Sus scrofa: one gene and its partners. The protein of the gene in region 2 interacts with the protein of the main gene of each other region in a pairwise test. Links are inferred from orthologs where the notes say so. Each region holds a gene or a part of one and is shown on either strand. Other genes may lie near its edges.

Evidence for each region.
Region 1: the proteins of NUP62 (region 2) and FABP3 interact in binary tests that used the Homo sapiens proteins (3 or more experiments, as listed by UniProt). The two-hybrid records come from large-scale screens. The link is inferred for Sus scrofa from reciprocal best matches to the Homo sapiens genes NUP62 and FABP3.
Region 3: the proteins of NUP62 (region 2) and HSF2 interact in binary tests that used the Homo sapiens proteins (3 or more experiments, as listed by UniProt). The link is inferred for Sus scrofa from reciprocal best matches to the Homo sapiens genes NUP62 and HSF2.

The regions. Positions count from the first base shown.
Region 1 is NC_010448.4:87,941,260-87,946,913, forward strand, and holds the end of FABP3 (fatty acid-binding protein, heart), read right to left. Parts: intron 5,503-5,654; coding exon 5,330-5,502; intron 3,250-5,329; coding exon 3,148-3,249; intron 1,800-3,147; coding exon 1,746-1,799; 3' UTR 1,744-1,745; downstream 1-1,743. Other genes in the region: ZCCHC17 (nucleolar protein of 40 kDa), read left to right, coding at 1-91. UniProt on the Homo sapiens protein: FABPs are thought to play a role in the intracellular transport of long-chain fatty acids and their acyl-CoA esters.
Region 2 is NC_010448.4:54,941,843-54,949,036, reverse strand, and holds the start of NUP62 (nuclear pore glycoprotein p62), read left to right. Parts: upstream 1-3,331; 5' UTR 3,332-3,452; exon of another isoform or gene 3,453-3,656; intron 3,657-3,882; exon of another isoform or gene 3,883-3,970; intron 3,971-7,194. Other genes in the region: ATF5 (cyclic AMP-dependent transcription factor ATF-5), read right to left, coding at 1-184, 1,734-1,911. UniProt on the Homo sapiens protein: Essential component of the nuclear pore complex. The N-terminal is probably involved in nucleocytoplasmic transport.
Region 3 is NC_010443.5:40,145,524-40,151,116, reverse strand, and holds the end of HSF2 (heat shock factor protein 2), read left to right. Parts: intron 1-2,048; coding exon 2,049-2,133; intron 2,134-2,828; coding exon 2,829-3,121; 3' UTR 3,122-3,850; downstream 3,851-5,593. UniProt on the Homo sapiens protein: DNA-binding protein that specifically binds heat shock promoter elements (HSE) and activates transcription. In higher eukaryotes, HSF is unable to bind to the HSE unless the cells are heat shocked.

The DNA.
Region 1 (5,654 bases), about 33 Mb from region 2:
AGGCAAGAGGGCAAGGCACACATCAAAAGACAACAAGGCGGCCAAGAAGAAGAAAAAGAAGAAGAAGCACAAGAAGAAGCACAAGGAGTGAGAGTGGAAAGAGTAGAAGGGGTGGTTGAGAGAAGGAAACCGGAGCCTTGTACCTTGAAGCCCTGGCTCCTGGAAGGACTCACTAGTGAGAATGTGGCCTCCCACCCCATTTTCTCTCCCATGGAAGGTGGCTTCCCCTTAGCCACAGGCAGGTTTGGGAGTTAAGTATCAAAACCATCTGCCTGAACGAGTTGTTTCCTTATCACTCCTGGTCCCTCTGCAAGTGACCCCTGCAGCTCACCCTCTCATCGACCCAACTTCCTTCATTCAGCAGGAGGTCCTGTTAACCTCTCCAGCTGCCACTGCCAGAGCCAGATTCCTATACAGGAGTCTAGGCTAGAGCCACAGGTACTGCTGTGGAGGTGAGTCTGGCTATAGTTGGAGGACAGTGATTGGCCTGCTGTTGGTCTGCCCTGGGCTAATTGGTGGGTGATCTCTGTAGCATCCAACACAGGCGCAGAGGGAGACTGGCAGTACAAGGGAGAACATGGTAAGAAGTGGTGCTCACTTTTTCCAGTCCCCCAACACGATTCTACTGTGTTAGAAGCGACAGCCAGCAGTCACAGCCAGAAACCATTGTTTGCAGTGACTCAGCTTGTGTGTGACATTCCATCAGACCACTGAACCAAACAGCTCAAGCCAAGATCGTTGCTTTACTTTGCATTTACTACAGTGTGAGTCAAATGGTTCCATTTCAGGTCTCTGCTTAAATTCCTGGCACTAAATGGAAGTGTGTTTGGTTTTAAACTTACTGAGAGTCTTAACTGGTATAATCTCTTCCTGTAACCTCCAAACTTAAAAGTTACTGAGTGTGCATTAGTTGACAGAAAAACATTTAATATGTTACCTTAGACCTTGGAGAGAGGCCCAGCAAAGGTTCTGAGCCAAAGACACTGGCAGGTCCTAGCCTTCTTAGGAGATCACTTATAAGCCTCTCTTCTGTAATGATCAGATGACCTCTCCCCTAGGGCTGACTGGAGAGCCAGTAAGGATCTGTAACCGCAGGTAACGGCCTGGCAGAAGCTCAGCGGTCCTCTTGGCCAGTGGGCATTTTCTTGTGCCTGGCTTGTGTCCTGAGCCTACTTTCTGGAAAGAGACCACTGCCTTCCACAAAGGGCAACTGTCCAGACTCCAGGGCATTCAGTGCAGGACAGGCCTGAGGTGACATTTCAGAAGCCTTGCCACTGAGTGATTATTCCAGGCTGGACGAGCTCACTTGGCCATAGGAAGAGGGCAGTGTAAAGACAAGGTGTAGGTACAGCGGTTTAATTTCTTGTATGTGTAAGGTGATCATCTATCACTGTTCCTGACACTGTCCACTTCAGTCTCATCCAGTGCATCTTCCTGAATGGCAGTCATCTCTGCCCACTCTGACACACACTGAAACTGGAACTCCCAGAGTCATGTCACCAAAGACAAAGAGGCAGCTGGGTGGCCTTGGCTATTTTATTGACCTCAGAGCACCCTTTGGATGCAATTAAAAAAAAACAAACATACACAACAAGAACCGGAACTGAACGCAGGCTGGTGCAACCTGACCCCAGGAGAATATCCCCAAAGTAGATTTTTACAAAATGCCAGAGGAAAAAATGAGGCAATCTGGTGCTGAGTCCAGGAGTAGCCAATTGGCAGGAACAGTCGAAGGGATGGGCAGGTCATGCCTCTTTCTCGTAAGTGCGAGTGCAAACTGCACTGCCATGGGTGAGTGTCTGGAATAAAAGAGGGTCAGATTAGGGCAGGGGTAAGGGCACAGAAGGTACTGGGAGCACTCTTCACTCTGCCGGGGAAAGCCCTCTACCTTCATGCTAATAATCGTCATTTACTACCTACTACATGCCAGGTACTTGACATGTATTTTTTCCTAATGCTTACACCAGGTCTTCAAGTTCAGCACTGTAATTCCTCTCGTAGAGACTTGGGAAAATGAGCTTTGAGGAGGTAACTTGGTCAAGATCCTAGAGCATTTCTCTTCCCCTTGTACCATTCTTCTGTCATCCTTTGTGCCTAAGATGGTGCCTGGTACATAGTAAATGGGTGAACAAAAATGCCCAGAGATGCTTGGGGAAAGGACTCTACTAGGCCACCAACTCTCCATTCCTTCCCTAACTTAGGGCAGTGCCAGGGCCAAAACCCCATCATCCTGCCAGGCATCATGGTTTCACCATAACCTGAATGCCCAGTGAGTATTTGGTTCTGTATATCACATTCCCACCTGAGCCAGGTACCTCATTCTTAACTCTGCTGGGCCCCTGCCCTGTTTGAGTGCAAGAATGCAGTCAGCAGGTCACACTGACCCAGGAGGGTCTGCAGTGAAGATACTGAGGCAAAAACCTGAGGTGCTACAGAGTTAAGTGGTAGAGACCACAGCTGGCTGCTGTCTCTGCCCCTGGGGGTATTCAGTCAAGGCTCCATTCTTCCAGTGATGTCCCCAAGTGTGTCCCTAAACATGCTGCCAGCCTGATTGTTGCCTCCAACCCAGGCCATGGTCAGATAGGCCAGGCACAGAAAGCACTGAGAGGAGGTGAGCCTGAAATGAAATAGAAAGGGCTGTGCTATCAGCCAGGGCCCCACCATCACCAGCCTGCCTCTGCCCCAAGGCTTAGGAGATGAGAGCCTCTCACCAGGACCTGGGATCAGATTTGGCCCCGCTTTCTACTGCTTCCTGGGTGAAGCAGAATGAAACTAAGGCAATGGCGCATGCCTACTATAGTTCTCTCATGCCAGTGATCCTGTGCTCCTCATCCACCATCTCCCTCAGACTTCACAGCAGCCCTCCAAGGCTGGTGTCATTAATACCCACTTTACAGTTGGACATGGAGAACCTAACTTACCCCAAGTCATGTAGCCTATAAACTGTGATTTAAACCCAATCTTGTGTGAGTCCAAAGCCACTACATAAGAAAATTCCTACCTAATGCCTAATGCCACCCAGCCTTGCCTCCACCCTCCACTATCCCAGCTTCCACTGGTCCCAGGGAACCTTGGCTTTTCACAGTAGGGTTGGCTGAAGGGGCAGTAAGAACCAACTGGGTGAGACTCCAAAGTTGTCCATCTTACCAGGATGAGTTTCCCATCAACTAGTTCCCGAACAAGCGTTGTCTCTTGTCCATTCCACTTCTGCAGGTGGACAAGTTTGCCTCCATCCAGTGTCACAATGGACTGTGGAAAGAGGGTAGAGGCCTGAGCTGGGATTGAGGGACAGGAAGGGGGTGTCTGGTCACTCTGGCCACAGCAGACTCAGCCTCTAACCTAAACTGTTGATGGTGCTAGGACCAGAGCTCAGGTAGCCCACCTTCAAGCTAACCCCATGGGAGGTGTAGTTCACCACTGCTGCTTGGTGGGGGGAGGGGCCTTCAGGTGCTGGGCAGGGAGGGAGAGGTGGACAATATGGTAGAGTCAGACAGCCCAGCTAGAGAAGTGCCACCAGCCTTCAAGATGGGCACTTATCCTATACTCCAGGGGATGCCCACAGCCCCAGTCCCACTAAGATAAAAGGTGCATGTACCAGCCTAATCCCTGGGAAAGACTGGGGAGGAAGAATGGTCCTGAGACTCTCCAGCCTAATGGTGATCACACACAATGTCTAAAAGATTCTTGGGGGAGTTCCCATCGAGGCTCAGCACTAACAAACCTGACTAGTATCCATGAAGACTCAGGTTCGATGCCTGGCCTCGCTCAGTGGGTTAAGGATCCGGCATTGCTGTGAGCTGTGTAGTTCACAGACATGGCTTGGCTGTGGCTGTGGTATGGGCCGGCAGATGCAGCTCAAATTAGACCTCTAGAGCCTGGGAACTTCCATATGCCACGGGTGAGGCCCCAAAAAGCAAAAAAACAAAAAACAAAAAACAAACTCTCAGGAATGGGAGTTATTGGAAAATTAGGACTCTGCCCTGTATTCCTACTCCTCTTGGTCCATATCATGTGAGCCCTTCAGCTGACAAGTGGGCAGCAACTGCCTTGTCCTGGGGCTGGGTACCCTTGGAGTGTTCCACAGCCCTGGTTAAATGTCCACTTAAACTCTTCTGGGTGCTGCTGCCAGTCCACATCAGCTGGTTCTCATTTGGCAGCTCTCCCAGGTGTCTCTTCTAGAAGTCTGGGGGCTCTAAGCCAGGCTAGGGGACCGTGACTGAGCAGGCTTAATAGGAGAATCTGAAAAGGCTGTGTGTGTTTAGGGCTAGGGGTACACCCTTATGATCACCTTCCTCATTCCCATTCCCCCAGCTTTTTGTCCACTCAGAGCAGATTATTTCTAGCCTGGCCATCCCATAGAACTGTTGGCGTTTAATTGGATTTCTTGCCCCTCAAGAAGGTAGGCTACTTTAAGTTAAAAGCATGTGGTAGGACAGGCACCTCTCCATCTCTGGGTACTGTCCCATCTCTGCTGCCCGCTTCCTCCACAAGGAGGAAACTATTGGAGGCAGCTGTGAGGAAGAGGAAACAGCTGAGTAGCTGAATGATCGGGTCTGGTGAAAAGATACTACTATAGGGACACCCTGTAGAGAGCAAACCTCCCAGTTCTCCCTCTTCCATGCCTGGCCCAGGGGCTGGGAGGCCTGAGGCAAGCTGCTGCAGGGTAGCCGATCCTGAGAGAGGGTAGATGTCCCCTCCTCCTTGGAAGGAGGGGGGAGCTGAGGCTTGGCAGAAAGACACTCAAACACACCGAAGGCAATGCTCCATCCAGAACATAGTTTTTCCTGCTTGTGGGCTGGCAGCCTTGGAAACAGTTCCTCAGGGTCACTGGCCAAGCCCAAGAGGTGGTGGCTGGAGAAGCAGAAGCATCTGAGTAGGTTTCAACCTCTTGCCCCCAGCTGTCTCTGCTGCTAGAGGCCAGGATGGCCTATTTAGCAGAGGATTTGACTTCAGGGCATTGTCCTAAAGCACTTGAGGTTACAGCCATGTCCACATAACCCCCATCTATGGAAGGGGGAAGAAAGCCAGAGGTGTTGCATGCCAGGCACAAGGTCACCCAGCTGGAGCTGCAGCAGACACGGAGGTCAGAATATCCTGGCTTGATGCTGCCCTCGTCCAGAGGTAACAGGTAGATGCTTCCCAAGAAGGGAGGGAGGAAAACAAGAGGACAGGACATGCTTTTAGCACTCAGGACATCCCAGCACTGCACAGGCTTTAGGGACTTTGTTTCAATTCCTCATAACATCCTACCCCTCAAGGTGCAATAATAGGGTGCCATCCTATTCCCCTTCAGGGACTTTCATTCCCTGTGACACTTCCCTCAACTCACCTTGACCTTCCTGTCATCTGCTGTTGTCTCATCAAACTCCACTCCCAGCTTGAAGCTGATCTCTGTGCTCTTGAAGGTGCTTTGTGTTTTTATGATGATTGTGTCCCCATTCACTTCGATGATTGTGGTAGGCTTGGTCATGTTGGCCACCTGCCTGGTGGCAAAACCCACACCTGAGGGCAGAGGGAAGGTTATGAGTACAAGCTGGAACAGACCCGGCAGACAGCAAACAGCTCTTAGGCCTAGATGTGGGAAAGAGGAAGGAGGAGGGCAAGAATTTTCAAAGGCTGCATGGCTGTTTTTAAATTCAGTCTTCGTAGCTCTG
Region 2 (7,194 bases):
AGTGGGGCATCGAGGAAGAAGTCTTCCATCTGTTCCAACTCCTTCTTGAGGAGGGAGGCCATAGCTTCCAGGTCGGGGGCAGGTGGGGAAGTTGCGGAGAGGGCACCCGAGGGCAAGGGGGGCTCCAGAGGGAGAAGGGCTGTAAAGTCCACCCGCTCGGTCATCCAGTCAGAGAAGCCGTCACCTGGAGGATTGGAGAGGGACAGAAAGTTCCTTGAGTTCCCAGTCCTTCAGCCAGCCAGGTCTCACCCCTGTCCGCCTCATTCACCCCATTCATTCGGTAAAACCAGCAACCAGTCAATCAGTCAACCAACCAATGAATAAACCAAGAGACTAGCCAACTACCCAACCCATCAACCAAACAGCTAACCAGCCAATCAACTGAGTCAACCAACTGCTAATCCACAGACCAATCAACCTATTAACTAAGCAATCAATGAATAAGCCAACCAACCACGACCCACTCAACGAAACAGTCAACCATTTCAAGCCTTTTGTTTGTTTGGTTTGCTTTTTAGGGCCCCACTTGCAGCATGTGGAGGTTCCCAGGGTAGGGATCGAATTGGAGCTGTAGCCACCGGCCTACACCACAGCCACAGCAATGCAGGATCCAAGTCGTGTCTGCAACCTACACCATAGCTCACAGCAACGCCGGATCCTTAATTCACTGAGTGAGGCCAGGGATGGAACCCGCATCCTCATGGATACTAGACAGGCAGGTTAACTGCTGAGCCACGAAGGGAACTCCTCCAACACCCTCACTCTGCACCTGCGGTTTCTTGATTTTCCCTCTAGTTCATTCTCAAATGGCAAACTAGATCACACATAAACACACCTGATTTCATCTTTAATTATTATCGTCTTTTTAGGGCTGCACCTGCAGCATATGGAGGTTCCCAGGCTGGGGGTCGGATCAGAGCTGTAGCCACTGGCCTACACCACAGCCACAGCAACTCCAGATCCTTGACCCACTTTGCGAGGCCAGTGATCAAACCCGAAACCTCATGGTTCCTAGTCGGATTCGTTTCTACTGCGCCACAATGGGCACTCCTCCCCCTGTCTTTTCATGGCTCATTCCGTACCATTTTTTTTTTTTTTTTGGTCTTTTGTCTTTGTTGTTGTTGTTATTGTTGCTATTTCTTGGGCCGCTCCCGCGGCATATGGAGGTTCCCAGGCTAGGGGTTGAATCGGAGCTGTAGCCACCGGCCTACGCCAGAGCCACAGCAACGCGGGATCCGAGCCGCGTCTGCAACCTACACCACAGCTCACGGCAACGCCGGATCGTTAACCCTCTGAGCAAGGGCAGGGATCGAACCCGCAACCTCATGGTTCCTAGTCGGATTCGTTAACCACTGCGCCACGACGGGAACTCCCGTACCATTTTTTAAGCCTCAGCCAAAATGTTACTGCCTTGGAAAGGGTGTCCCAGCTCCCCACTGTAAACTAGTCCTCGCTGTCGCTTTTGAGCTCAGCTACTGTTTCCTGCTTATCCCCACACATCGTCATTTGTCTCTTGTCTGTCCCCAGTAGAGTGTGAGCGCCAAAAGGGTAGGCACCACGTCGGTCTTGTTCCCAGCTGTATCCCCAGCACCTAACAGTGCCTGACATATTATAGGTGCTCAGGAAATATTTATTGAAGGAATAAATACACGAATGAATGAATTCTTCTTCTCCCCTGCCCCCTGACCCCAGCTCACTCCATGACTCCACCTCCATTCTTTGCCTACCCTTACCTGCCAGGGGCTCTCCCCCCCCTGGAAGCCCGCCCTCCAGGGCTCCCCCAAGGACCTCATAGGGGCCCAGGGGGGCAGGGGCCAGGGGGAGTTTCCCATAGTCTACGAGCCAGCCCAGCCCGCTAGCTGGGAGCAGGGTCCTGTCCAGCTCCAGCCCCAGGGTCGCCAGGAGTGACATGGCTGCAGCTCGGGTGCGGGGCACAGATGGCAATGAAGGAGGCTGCACCAACAGCTGGCAGGAGGCTCTGGAGATTACTCAGCTGGGCGAAGACGGGCACCAAGGCGAGAGTGGAGGACCTACGAGTGGGAGACAAAAGTGAGTGGGTTAGGGGCCAGCCTCGCCAACGGCCAAGGCCATGGGGAAACCAAGCGATACCCCCTCAGGTCCCCAGGATTCCTTACCTTTTGGGAATTCTACATCTGCCCTTTCTTTCCTCAAATGGGGACCCCACCCATTCCCAAGGGAATTTTCTTTAGGCCCCGACTTACTTTTCCTCAGAATTCCCTAGACCCAATCCTTCCAATATTGAAACATAATGGTGTCCCAGGGGAATTACCTTAAGACCCTCCCACCCACCCCATAATACTATCTCTCATGGAAAAAAAAAAAAAAAAAAAACACAAAAACCTCAATCCCAGGGGAATTTTCTTCCAGCCACACCTCTTGCCCTAAAACATATCCTTTAGGCCCCACCCTGTCCCTAGATTCCTGCTGTGAATCTGTTCCCAGGGGAATCCCCCTGCCCCGCCCCTTCATCAAAATCCTCCATTCAAATCCCATTCTTCCCTTCGAATTTTGCAGTGGTCTCCCGTCCCCCCAAGCCCTGCCCCCTGGTTTATTAGCTCCACCCTCCCCGACGATTCCCAGAGGCCCCGCCTCTTTCTCAATATAAACCCCACCCCCTCAGCGCACGGCGCGCTTAGCCACGCCCCTTCTCCCAAAGGGTACCCCGCCCCCGCCCCACCCTCCGCGACGTCTCTTATCCTAGCTCCCGTCCCTTAACTGGTCGTTTCTAAGCCCCGCCTTCTCCCCCCGCCCCCGCCCCCGTAGTTGCTTGAAAGAAAGGGAGGGAAGACGTGCTTTTACGCCTGAGCAAACTGGAGGGAGGCGGAGGGTGGAGGGGGGCGGGATGAGAACAGCTCCCGACTCCCCCTCCCCCCACCCCCGTACACGGCTGTCTCGCCGAGGGCCAAAGCGCAGGCTCCAGCCCCAGAGCTGTCCTATTGCCCCCGCAAGGCTCCGCCCTCCTCGGGATCAGTGCTGCGCACGTGCGGCTGCTGCTCGTCAGCCCTTTGCTCCGAGATACAAGCGCCGGTGGATCTGAGCAATCGCTGATTGACAGACTCAATCAGAGCGGGGAGGAGGGGGGAAACCCACCCTCTCTGGGAGCTAGTGCGCAGGCGCAAACGCATGTGGTCGTCTTTAAACGCCAACATTGTCTGGAAGAACGCACCCTCCCCCCATCAGCTGAGTGCGCATGCTCCGCAGCGCGCAAACGGAGCGTCTTGTCTCTTCTGCGCCTGCGCGACCGTGATTCCTCACTCTTGTCTCCCCACCCCCCCGAGCCCGGTGGTGAGGGCCGCGAGCTTGGAAAGGGCGGGAAAGACGGTTGGAGAGGGAGGGGCGAGCGAGCGGTTACTCACTCCATGGCTGCGGAAAGAAGAGGCGGCGGTGGCCTCAGCTGAAGAAAGACGGCAGGAGCGGAGAGCGCAGGCGCGGTGAGCACGGCGACTGGCCGGGGGCACAGAGGGGTCGCGGCTACAGAGCCATGGCTGGAGCTACGCGGGCGGAGGAGGTGTCGCGGTACTGTGAGGAGAGATTGTGATCTGAGGATGGGGAATGAGGCGGCCCGGGGGACTGGGGACAGATATACCGGGGGCGGCGCAGCACGGCGTGCCCGGATCCTTCCGCGCCCCGCCCCGCGCTGCCCCAACCGGGAGGCGGGCTTGGCCTCTAGCCCTCGGGGATCCCGGGGACTGTCCCCCACTTCCGACCAGGGCGTTCAGCCCTCCCCTTCCTCTGACCTGAGGATCTGGCCCTGCTTTGCTCCCGACCCCCTGGACCACCCCCACTCGGGTGGGGCCCCTTTCTCCTTCTGATCCGGGGTCCGGCTTTCTGTTCCCTCTCATTCTGGTGGTTCAGCCTCACCTCTTCCCCGATCCCTGCACGAGTTCATTTCTCCTTTCCTTTCTCTTGCTTCACGAATTTCCGGCCAGCCACGTGCTGATCTCTTCAACTGCCACGGCACTCTGAGAACCCTTGTTGTGGCTTAGGATCTGGTTTGAGTCACAGACCGCGCTCCATTCAAATCGCAGACGGGCGCGGGTGGCCTTGGGCAAATAATTTAAATTCTCTAGCCTCGTAGATAGGGAACTACCTGTAAAATGAGAATAATCACCTCTTCCTAGTGGGGTCGTTTGTGAAAATCCGTGCAGTCGGTGTCTGTGAAACCAGCCCTCCTTCATGCCTGGTCCAACCGCTTTTATTATCCATAACAAGGACCTCTGGGGACCAGTCTCACCCCTTCCAACTCCCCTGGCCAGAGCCCCAGACTCGACCATCCAACACCTGCTAATAGATCATTCTTGTGTCTCCTTCGCTCTAGCATCCCTGCCCTCCCCCATTTCAAACGATGGACGCTCAGCCCCATCCTGCTGCCGGGAGCAAGGCATCATTGCCCAGACTCTCGTGTCCATCCCCTGCTGGCTTCCCCTTAGCCCTTATCCTTAGCACGCCTTTCAGGCCCGTTGGTTCATTCTTCTGTCCCTGCCCCTCACCTAGACGTCCTTTCAAATGGTTTTCTACCTCCGTGCACCCCACCCTCACCCCCAGATCAGTTTTCCACCTTTGCCAGACTTAGGGAGATCTGTAGTTCCATTTGCTGAAAGAGATGGGGCTTCCTGGCCAGTCCCTCCCATTACACAGGGCCTTCCACCAGACCCCGTAGACGAGGGTCTTTGCTGCAAGCCCCTCTCCTCCCCCATTCATCCACATCTAGACGTTACACCTGGAGTACAACTTTTCAGGACTTTGGTGGTGGTTATGAGACTGAGTCAAGATCCAAAGGTGGGAGACCCAGATCTTGAGTTACCTGGAATGATACATGGGCCTCTTTTGTTTTGTTCCATGTGCATGTGCTTTTTTTTTTTCCAGTTTTACTCAAGATATAATTAAACTTTATAAATTTAAGGTGTACAGTATAACAATTTGATTACCCATAAGTTTAGTGAACATTTATCATTTCCTGTAGATGTGAAATTAAAGATATAGAAATAGGGAGTTCCCATTGTGGTGCAGCGGAAACGAATCTGACTAGCATCCATGAGGATGCATGTTCAATCCCTGGTCTTGCTCACTGGGATAAGGATCCAGCGTTGCCATGAGCGGTAGTGTAGGTCGCAGATGTGGCTTGGATCTGGTGCTGCTGTGGCGTAAGCCGGCACCTGTAGCTCCGATTCGACCCCTAGCCTGGAACCTCCATATGCCTTAGGTGCAGCCCCGAAAAAGACCCAAAAAAGTAAATAAATAGATACTTAGAAAAAATACATATTTCTTTTTTTCTTTGGCAACTCCATGGCATATGAGTTCACAGGCCAGGAATCAGATCCGAGCCAAAGGTATGACATATGGAAGGGTTTATTCTCTCTCTCTCTCTCTCTTTTTTTTTTTTTTTTTTTTTTGCTTTTTAGGGCCACATCTGAGGCATATGGAAGTTCCCAGGCTAGGGGTTGAAATGGAGCTACAGCTGTCAGCCTACGCCACAGCCACAGCCATAGCTATGCAGGATCCCAGCCACATCTGTGACCTGCATCACAGCTCACAGCAACACCAGATCCTTAATCCACTGAGCAGGGCCATGGATCGAACCTGCATCTTCATGGATCCTAGTCTGGTTCGTTAACCACTGAGTCACAAAGGGAACTCTGGGTTTATTCTCTTAATAACTTTGATATGTAACATACAGCAGTGTTAATTATACTGATCATTTGATATATTACATACCCAGTACAGGCTGCTCTTCCTACAGGAAGCCCTTTTTGGGATCTGACCCCGTTCCCTTAGAGTACTTCCTGTCCACTGTGCCAGTATTTGAGCACTTGTCCTTTGGGGCCACATTATTACCTAGGCGGCATGGAGTAGTAGTTAAGAGCACAGACTCTGGAGGCAAGTTGTTGGATTCACACCCTGACTATACCCCACTTATTAGCTTCCTGGCAGTTTCGCTGTGCCTCGGTTTCCATTAATAGTGCCAGAACAGAAGTCCTCTGGTGGCCTAGCAGGTTGGGGATCTGGTGTTACCTCTGTGGCTCTGGTTATTACTTGGTGAGGGTTTGGTCCCTGGTCGGGAAGTTTTGTGGGCGCAACCAAAAAAAAAAAAAAAAATAGTGCCAGGATAAAAGTGACTAGAAAGTGCCAGGAGTTTAGTGACTAGAAACATACAGAAAGTGCCAGGAGTTTAGTGACTAGAAACATACAGATGTAAGTGGCTGTCCGTAGTGCCTCCTTCTTAGTGTTGTCTGATATTTAAATGAGTAAATCCAGGCCACCTGCTCATAGCCTAGTTCCTGGCACACATCAGGTGCTACATAAGCGGTTTCTGTTGTTACGGAGGTGGATATGTTTTCTCCATTGCTAAGCCGTAGTGCTTTCAAAGGCCTTTTAAGTGAGAAGTAAGGACCTCCTTCTCCTTGCCCTCCTCAGTGTAGGTACTTGAGCCATAGCAGGTAGGATTAGGGTCGACTCTTGGGCAGGCTGTTGGCAACGAGGGGGCACAGTCCCCCCACTCTTCTCTTGAAAAGACCTTCTAGGTCATGACGGGTGGACTAGGCAGAGTATTTTTCTTTGAATAAACTTTTTATTTTGGAATAATTGTAGATTTATAGAAAAGCTGTGAAGGCCGTGCAGAGGAGTAGAAGTCGGTGCCTTTACATTGCCATGGCGCACTTGTCACAACACTGGAGTCAACATCAGCCCCTTTCTATCGCCTCAACTCCACCTGGTCCTCGGATTTGGCCACTTGTTCCCCAACGCCCCTCCTCTGTTCCAGGATCCCCCCAGGATGCCACGTTACACTTAGTGGTCGCGTCTCCTTGGCTGCCTCTGGTCTGTCTGCGGAGGCTTTTTCAGACTTGCCTTGTCTCAGGATCTCGATGGTCTTGAAGAGTATGGGTTGGGTGCTCTACGGACTGTCTCTCCATTTGGTTTTGCTCGTAGGTGGAGATTATGGGGTTTTGAGGACGGCCAGGTAGAATGCTTTTTAACAACTGCAGACGAACTTAACTGGGTATGGGAGTCATGTTGCCAGTTGCTTGTGGTGTATGCTGACTGAGAAGCCCCTGGTCCCTGCTCCCGGCCCCTTGTGCCTTTCTCTCGCTCCAGCTGCTGGCTCCCACAGAGTTAAGTCCTGATGCCAACTGCCCTACCCAAGCAGCCTGAGTCCCTTCTGCTGAGCGGGTGCCA
Region 3 (5,593 bases), on a different chromosome or scaffold from region 2:
GCCTACATTTTCAAAGTAGTAGCCTGGGCAGTTTAAAATTGAAGAAGGAGTTTCCACTGTGGCTCAGTGGAAACGAATCTGACTATTGTCCATCTGACTATTGTCTGTGAGGGTGAGGATTCGATCCCTGGCCTTACTCAGTGGGTTAAGGATCTGGCGTTGCTGTGATCTGTGGTGTAAGCCAGCAGCTACAGCTCTAATTTGACCCCTAGCCTGGGAACCTCCATATGCCATGGGTTCAGCCCTAAAACAAACAAAAAGAAATTCGTGAATTTTTGAACCATAAAGTTGAAAGTTGTTTATACATTCAGTATTTGGATGATTTATATCAAGGGTTGGCATACTTTTTCTGTTAATACTAGTTAGTAAATATTTTTGGTTTTGTAGGAGGCCAAGTGTTCTCTGTCACAACTACTCAACTCTGCAATTGCAGTGCAAAAGCAGCCATAGACAATATGTAAAAGAATGAATGTGGCTATATTTCAGTAAAGCCTTACTCACAGAAACAGGGAGCATGCTGAAGTTGGCATGTGGACATAGTTTGCCTAGGTTTATATTATAAAAATCGATGGACTATGGAAGTGCCGTCTTTCAGTAAATAATGATATTATTGAATGTTAGACCTTAAGTTGAATGAACCCGTATCATGCATTCATTTAATGAATGTGCTCTGCTGTTTGTTTTTTGCTAGACATCGAGTCATTCTGTGTTCTTGAATTATCCTCATATTCCCAGAAGCTTTCAAAAATAACACTTAAACAGCAAGTTGCACATTACTTTACAATGCTATAGAAAAATTGAGTGTGACTTTTTATTATAGTTCTAGAATCTAGATTATTTTCAAATAATGGGCACATCAGCTCTCATTCCCTTGCACATGACAGGTATTATATGACATGGATTATTACAATACTCTTTCCTAATGACTCAGAATACCTTATACTCCTTAGCATAGTGATCTAAGTGGCCACTGCTAATAAGCTAAAATTTGCATGGGAGATGAAACCCATTTGTCATCTTGGTTCTCATATGCTTTTGAATTACTACAGTGGCAGCCTTGGAAAATACCTTTTTTGGGAAGTAGAAAAATAAGGTATTACTGCATTAATGTTTATTGTGAATGCTAAATGAAAAATTATATAATTTTTTTTGAAAAGTTTAAGTAGTTTTTATTTTGTCTTAGGGTCATTATCTATGAATCCTGGAAACTTGTACTGCTTCATTTTATGATGAATATCAGGGGAATTATAGGAATTAATATGTTTGTTACACCATATATACTTAAGCATGCAGGTATCTGGGACTTAACAGCTATTCAGGAAAAATGGTGAACCTCAGCACCTCAGTTTGAACATCGTTGAAAAGAGCACTGTGAAGAACTTAACATTAAAGATTTAATCCCCTTACAATCAGATGTAAGGAGAGAAGACAGTTTCTGAAAGAAGCAATTTTAAATGACAGAAAAGAACTGAAAGAGCCACAAAAAGGAAATGAAGAAACATCACCTCAGCTTTGAGGCTTCCAAACATAGGGATAAATAGTTTTTAGGTTGTTATCGTGTCATCCTGAGTTACTGTAAATGTGTTTTTTACTTATGCTAAATATTCTGTTCGTGAGCAAAAAAAAAAAAAAAAAAACATGTAATACATTTTAAATCAAAATTGTTTAAAATGAATTTAATGGTTTAAAGAATTATCTCTTCATTAACACTTTGAAACTAGCCATCTTTTATTCATTCCCATCTTCTAACCTTGACAGATTCTGTCTATTCTGTTGAAATGCCCCCTCCTTTTTGTACTTACTGTCATCCTAGTTCAGGTTCTTTGTTTCATCCACTTGATGACAGCAATAGTTTTCTTAGCCAGTCTTATTACCTCTAATGAAATTTCTTCCTTTCCTAGTTCATCTTTCCTGATGCTCCCTTTTTCCATATATTTTCAGATAATATACCAGTGTTAATATGCTATATTAGCTTTTAATTTTTTGCTATTTTTCAGGAACATATAAAGTATAAGACAAGTACTTTTATGTATTTTTTTCTCTTTTAGTCTGAAAATAAAGGATTAGAAACTACCAAGAGCAGTGTAGTTCAACCAGTTTCAGAAGAGGGAAGAAAATCTAAACCCAAAACAGGTAGGTTATAAATGTAGTATTAGCTTCTGTAGATTTTTTTTTAAAGTAAGATTTCTGTGTAGTTGGAGTTCCCATTGTGGCTCAGCAGAAACAGATCTGGCTAGTATCCATGAGGATGCAGGTTCCATCCCTGGCCTCTCAGTGGATTAAGGATCCAGTGTTGCCATGAGCTATGGTGTAGGTCACAGATGCGGCTCAGATTTGAAGTTGCCGTGGCTATAGCATAGGCCGGCAGCTACAGCTCCTATTTGACCCTTAACCTGGAAACCTCCATATGCTGCTGGTGCGGCCCTAAAAAAAGATTTTTGTGTAGAAATTAATGTGAGCCAAGGTGAAGGTCTTTTTATGCTTAACAGTTGAATACAGATTTGTACTAGTCTCAGTTCTAGGCATAATGTGTCAAGGTTGCAGCATGTAAAGGAAATTGAATTGATGTGGTAGTAGTTCTTAAAGTCTCCTGTTTTGTTTTATTTTCCCGTTTAGGAGAAATTGAAAGAACCCTGATTTCTTAATTGTTGAATAAAAGACTACATTTTCTGACTTGTGTGTTTTTAAATTTATTGATACAAAGAATCATAATTCTTGTTTGGTTATATAAGAATAGTGATTGTACATCTGCATCTGTTTTTTAAATCTTCAGCTTAAACTCTATATAAGTTGGTGATAAAAGATCACTTTTCTAATCTTCGTTACAGATAAGCAGCTTATCCAGTACACTGCCTTTCCACTTCTTGCATTCCTTGATGGGAACCCTGCATCTGCTGTTGAACAGGGGAATACGGCATCATCAGAAGTTATGTCCTCTGTAGATAAACCTATAGAAGTTGATGAGCTTCTAGATAGCAGCCTGGACCCAGAACCAACCCAGAGTAAGCTTGTTCGCCTGGAGCCATTGACTGAAGCTGAAGCTAGTGAAGCCACACTGTTTTATTTATGTGAACTTGCTCCTGCACCTCTGGATAGTGATATGCCACTTTTAGATAGCTAAATCCCTAAGAAGTGGACTCTATATGTATATATTCATCAAAATGATGAACTATTTATTTTAAAGTATCATTTGGTACTTTTTTTTTGTAAATTGCTCTGTTTGGTTTAATCAGATACTGTGGAATTGTAAAGCACCTTTTGCTTTTCTCACTAACTACACACTCTTGCAAAGCTTTCAGATGTTACTCAGCTATGTGGGTGCATAATATGTGTTCAGTCACATTATTGGCATATCTTTAAGTTGGATTCAAATGGCCATTTTTTCTCCAGTTATGGTAAATTGGATTTCTTTTTTGCACATATGCTCATTAACTCCAGTTAAACTTTTTGTTTGTTTGTTTTACTTGTTTAATGCTATCTCTTTGCATTGAGTGTTAAGTCACTATAACTAATGGTAGGACTCCTAAAGCTTTCTCTGTTGCAGTTGCTTTTAATAAGTATTTTTCACTTGGCTTCTTTTTAAAACTGGGAACATAAAGTGCCTGTATCTTGTAAAATTTCATTTGTCTTTCTCAGTTCAGAGAAGTTCGTTCATGTTCAAAAAGGAAGGCAATGTATACTTGAGTGCTTACTGTCTGATTCAGTTTCAGCTCCATATACATAGAAGAAGGGGATGGGATGATGCAACCTGTCCACCTTATTGGACTAGTTCTAAGTAAAAGTTTCTGGTTCGTTTCTGTTTTTTTGAAGCATACTATTTAGTAAAATAAATATAATGAATGTTGCGTACCATTGTCTTATGTGTCGTCGTTGGAGGTGATTCCCACATGTAACAGTTTTTCCTTTTCATAGGAAGTAGATAAACAATAAATTTTGCCTGTTGTCCATTATTCTTAATATAAGTCATACCAAGATCTTTGTGCGTCCTCTCAGAAGATAGAGTGTGTATTACAACAAGGAATATAATACAATGCCTCCAAATTTAATGTGTTTTTAAATTCTTCATTTAAAAATTATACTGGCTTGCATTCTATGTTTCTGATAAAGAACCGAGAGAAATATCCTCTGATTGTCTCAAATGAGGTAAGAACATTATCTCTGGATGCCAAAGGCCTGTAATTTTTGCCCTGAGAGAAGGTAAGAGACACAAGTCAAATCACTTCTTCCCTCTTGAACACTTGCTCAGGATTAGAGAGACTTAACGGCAAGGCTAGGGCACTCTCACTTGAAGAATTCCACCTTCAAGCAGAGGGCTGGAAACATTGAGCTAGTATCTGAGTATTTTACAGGGCTGTTAGATGAGGAATTACAAAGATAGACTTTCTATTGGCTATTTCTATTGTCTCTTAATACCTTAGAATTTTAAATCATCTCTTACTATGATTTAAAAATTCAAATAAAGCCTAGCACAGAGAGGTAAGAAACTTGCTTAACAGATTCCAAAATACTTGACTCTGACAGTGAGATCTTGGTGAACTAAATCAAGACCTCAGAACTTTTTCTGCATAAACTTTAGAGGTCACTTTCCTAGAAAAGTGTGAAGAGTTTGGAGACAGAGAATTTCAGACTTTTTCATTAACCCCTTCCCTTCCTCTCTGTGGGATACGATCAAGCTTTTTCATTGGGGCTATTTTGGAGCTCTAGAAGTATTTAAATAATTTTGAAGACTTTATACTTCCTAGTACTTTGAAGGTGACATTTAAAATTTTTCATCTTATGTTTAAGTTGTTGGGAGGAATTTAGAATATTGTTAATACTGCCATTTTTAAAAATAGAGTTGTTACATGCTTTTACATGTATCTAAAAGAATCTAAATACCATAGTGATTTGATATCCATCATCCATTACACTTTGTCCAAAGAATTTTATCCATTTATTATGTGTGAGTTATACATTGAAGATAACTGCCACACTTCTCCACAACTGAATTTCAAATAGTTTCCTGTAACCTAAAATTCTGAGCATCAAAGTTTGTCTTCAGTTGATCAAAACAGGATAAAAGTATGTAACAGAGGCTGTTAACTGATTGCTGAATGATTTCCTATCATGCAATTGGATAATTTCCACCTCTGTAAGCAGAGTAGCTCTGTAACTGAGTTGTAATGAATCAGGAAAAGTGATGTTCAGAACTTATAGGTCTGGTCTGTGAAAACCTCCCCCATGCAACCCTCCTTGCCTTTTACCTGTCTCTAGCTTGATGCCAAGGAGTATGTGGCTTCCAAGGATACACATGAGAAGGAAGAAACTGGCTTCCTGTATAACTGCTTATAGGAAAACCACCGTCAATCCTGGAAATTCATTTTAGACTTCAGGTGAGGGGGGAACAAACTTTTATTATGTTCCGTCTCTGAATTTTTGGGGGGTTGATCTGTTAAGAGTTTTTAGTGTTCACTGATACAGTGCGGTTCAAATTTTGATGAACCATTATTAAGTAAAATTTTACCAGAAATACATCTTTTAATGGGGTGAACAGGTATCAGGGTTTTATTTCCCAAATGTCTCATTATCTGGGTAAGTTTATATCAGTGTAATG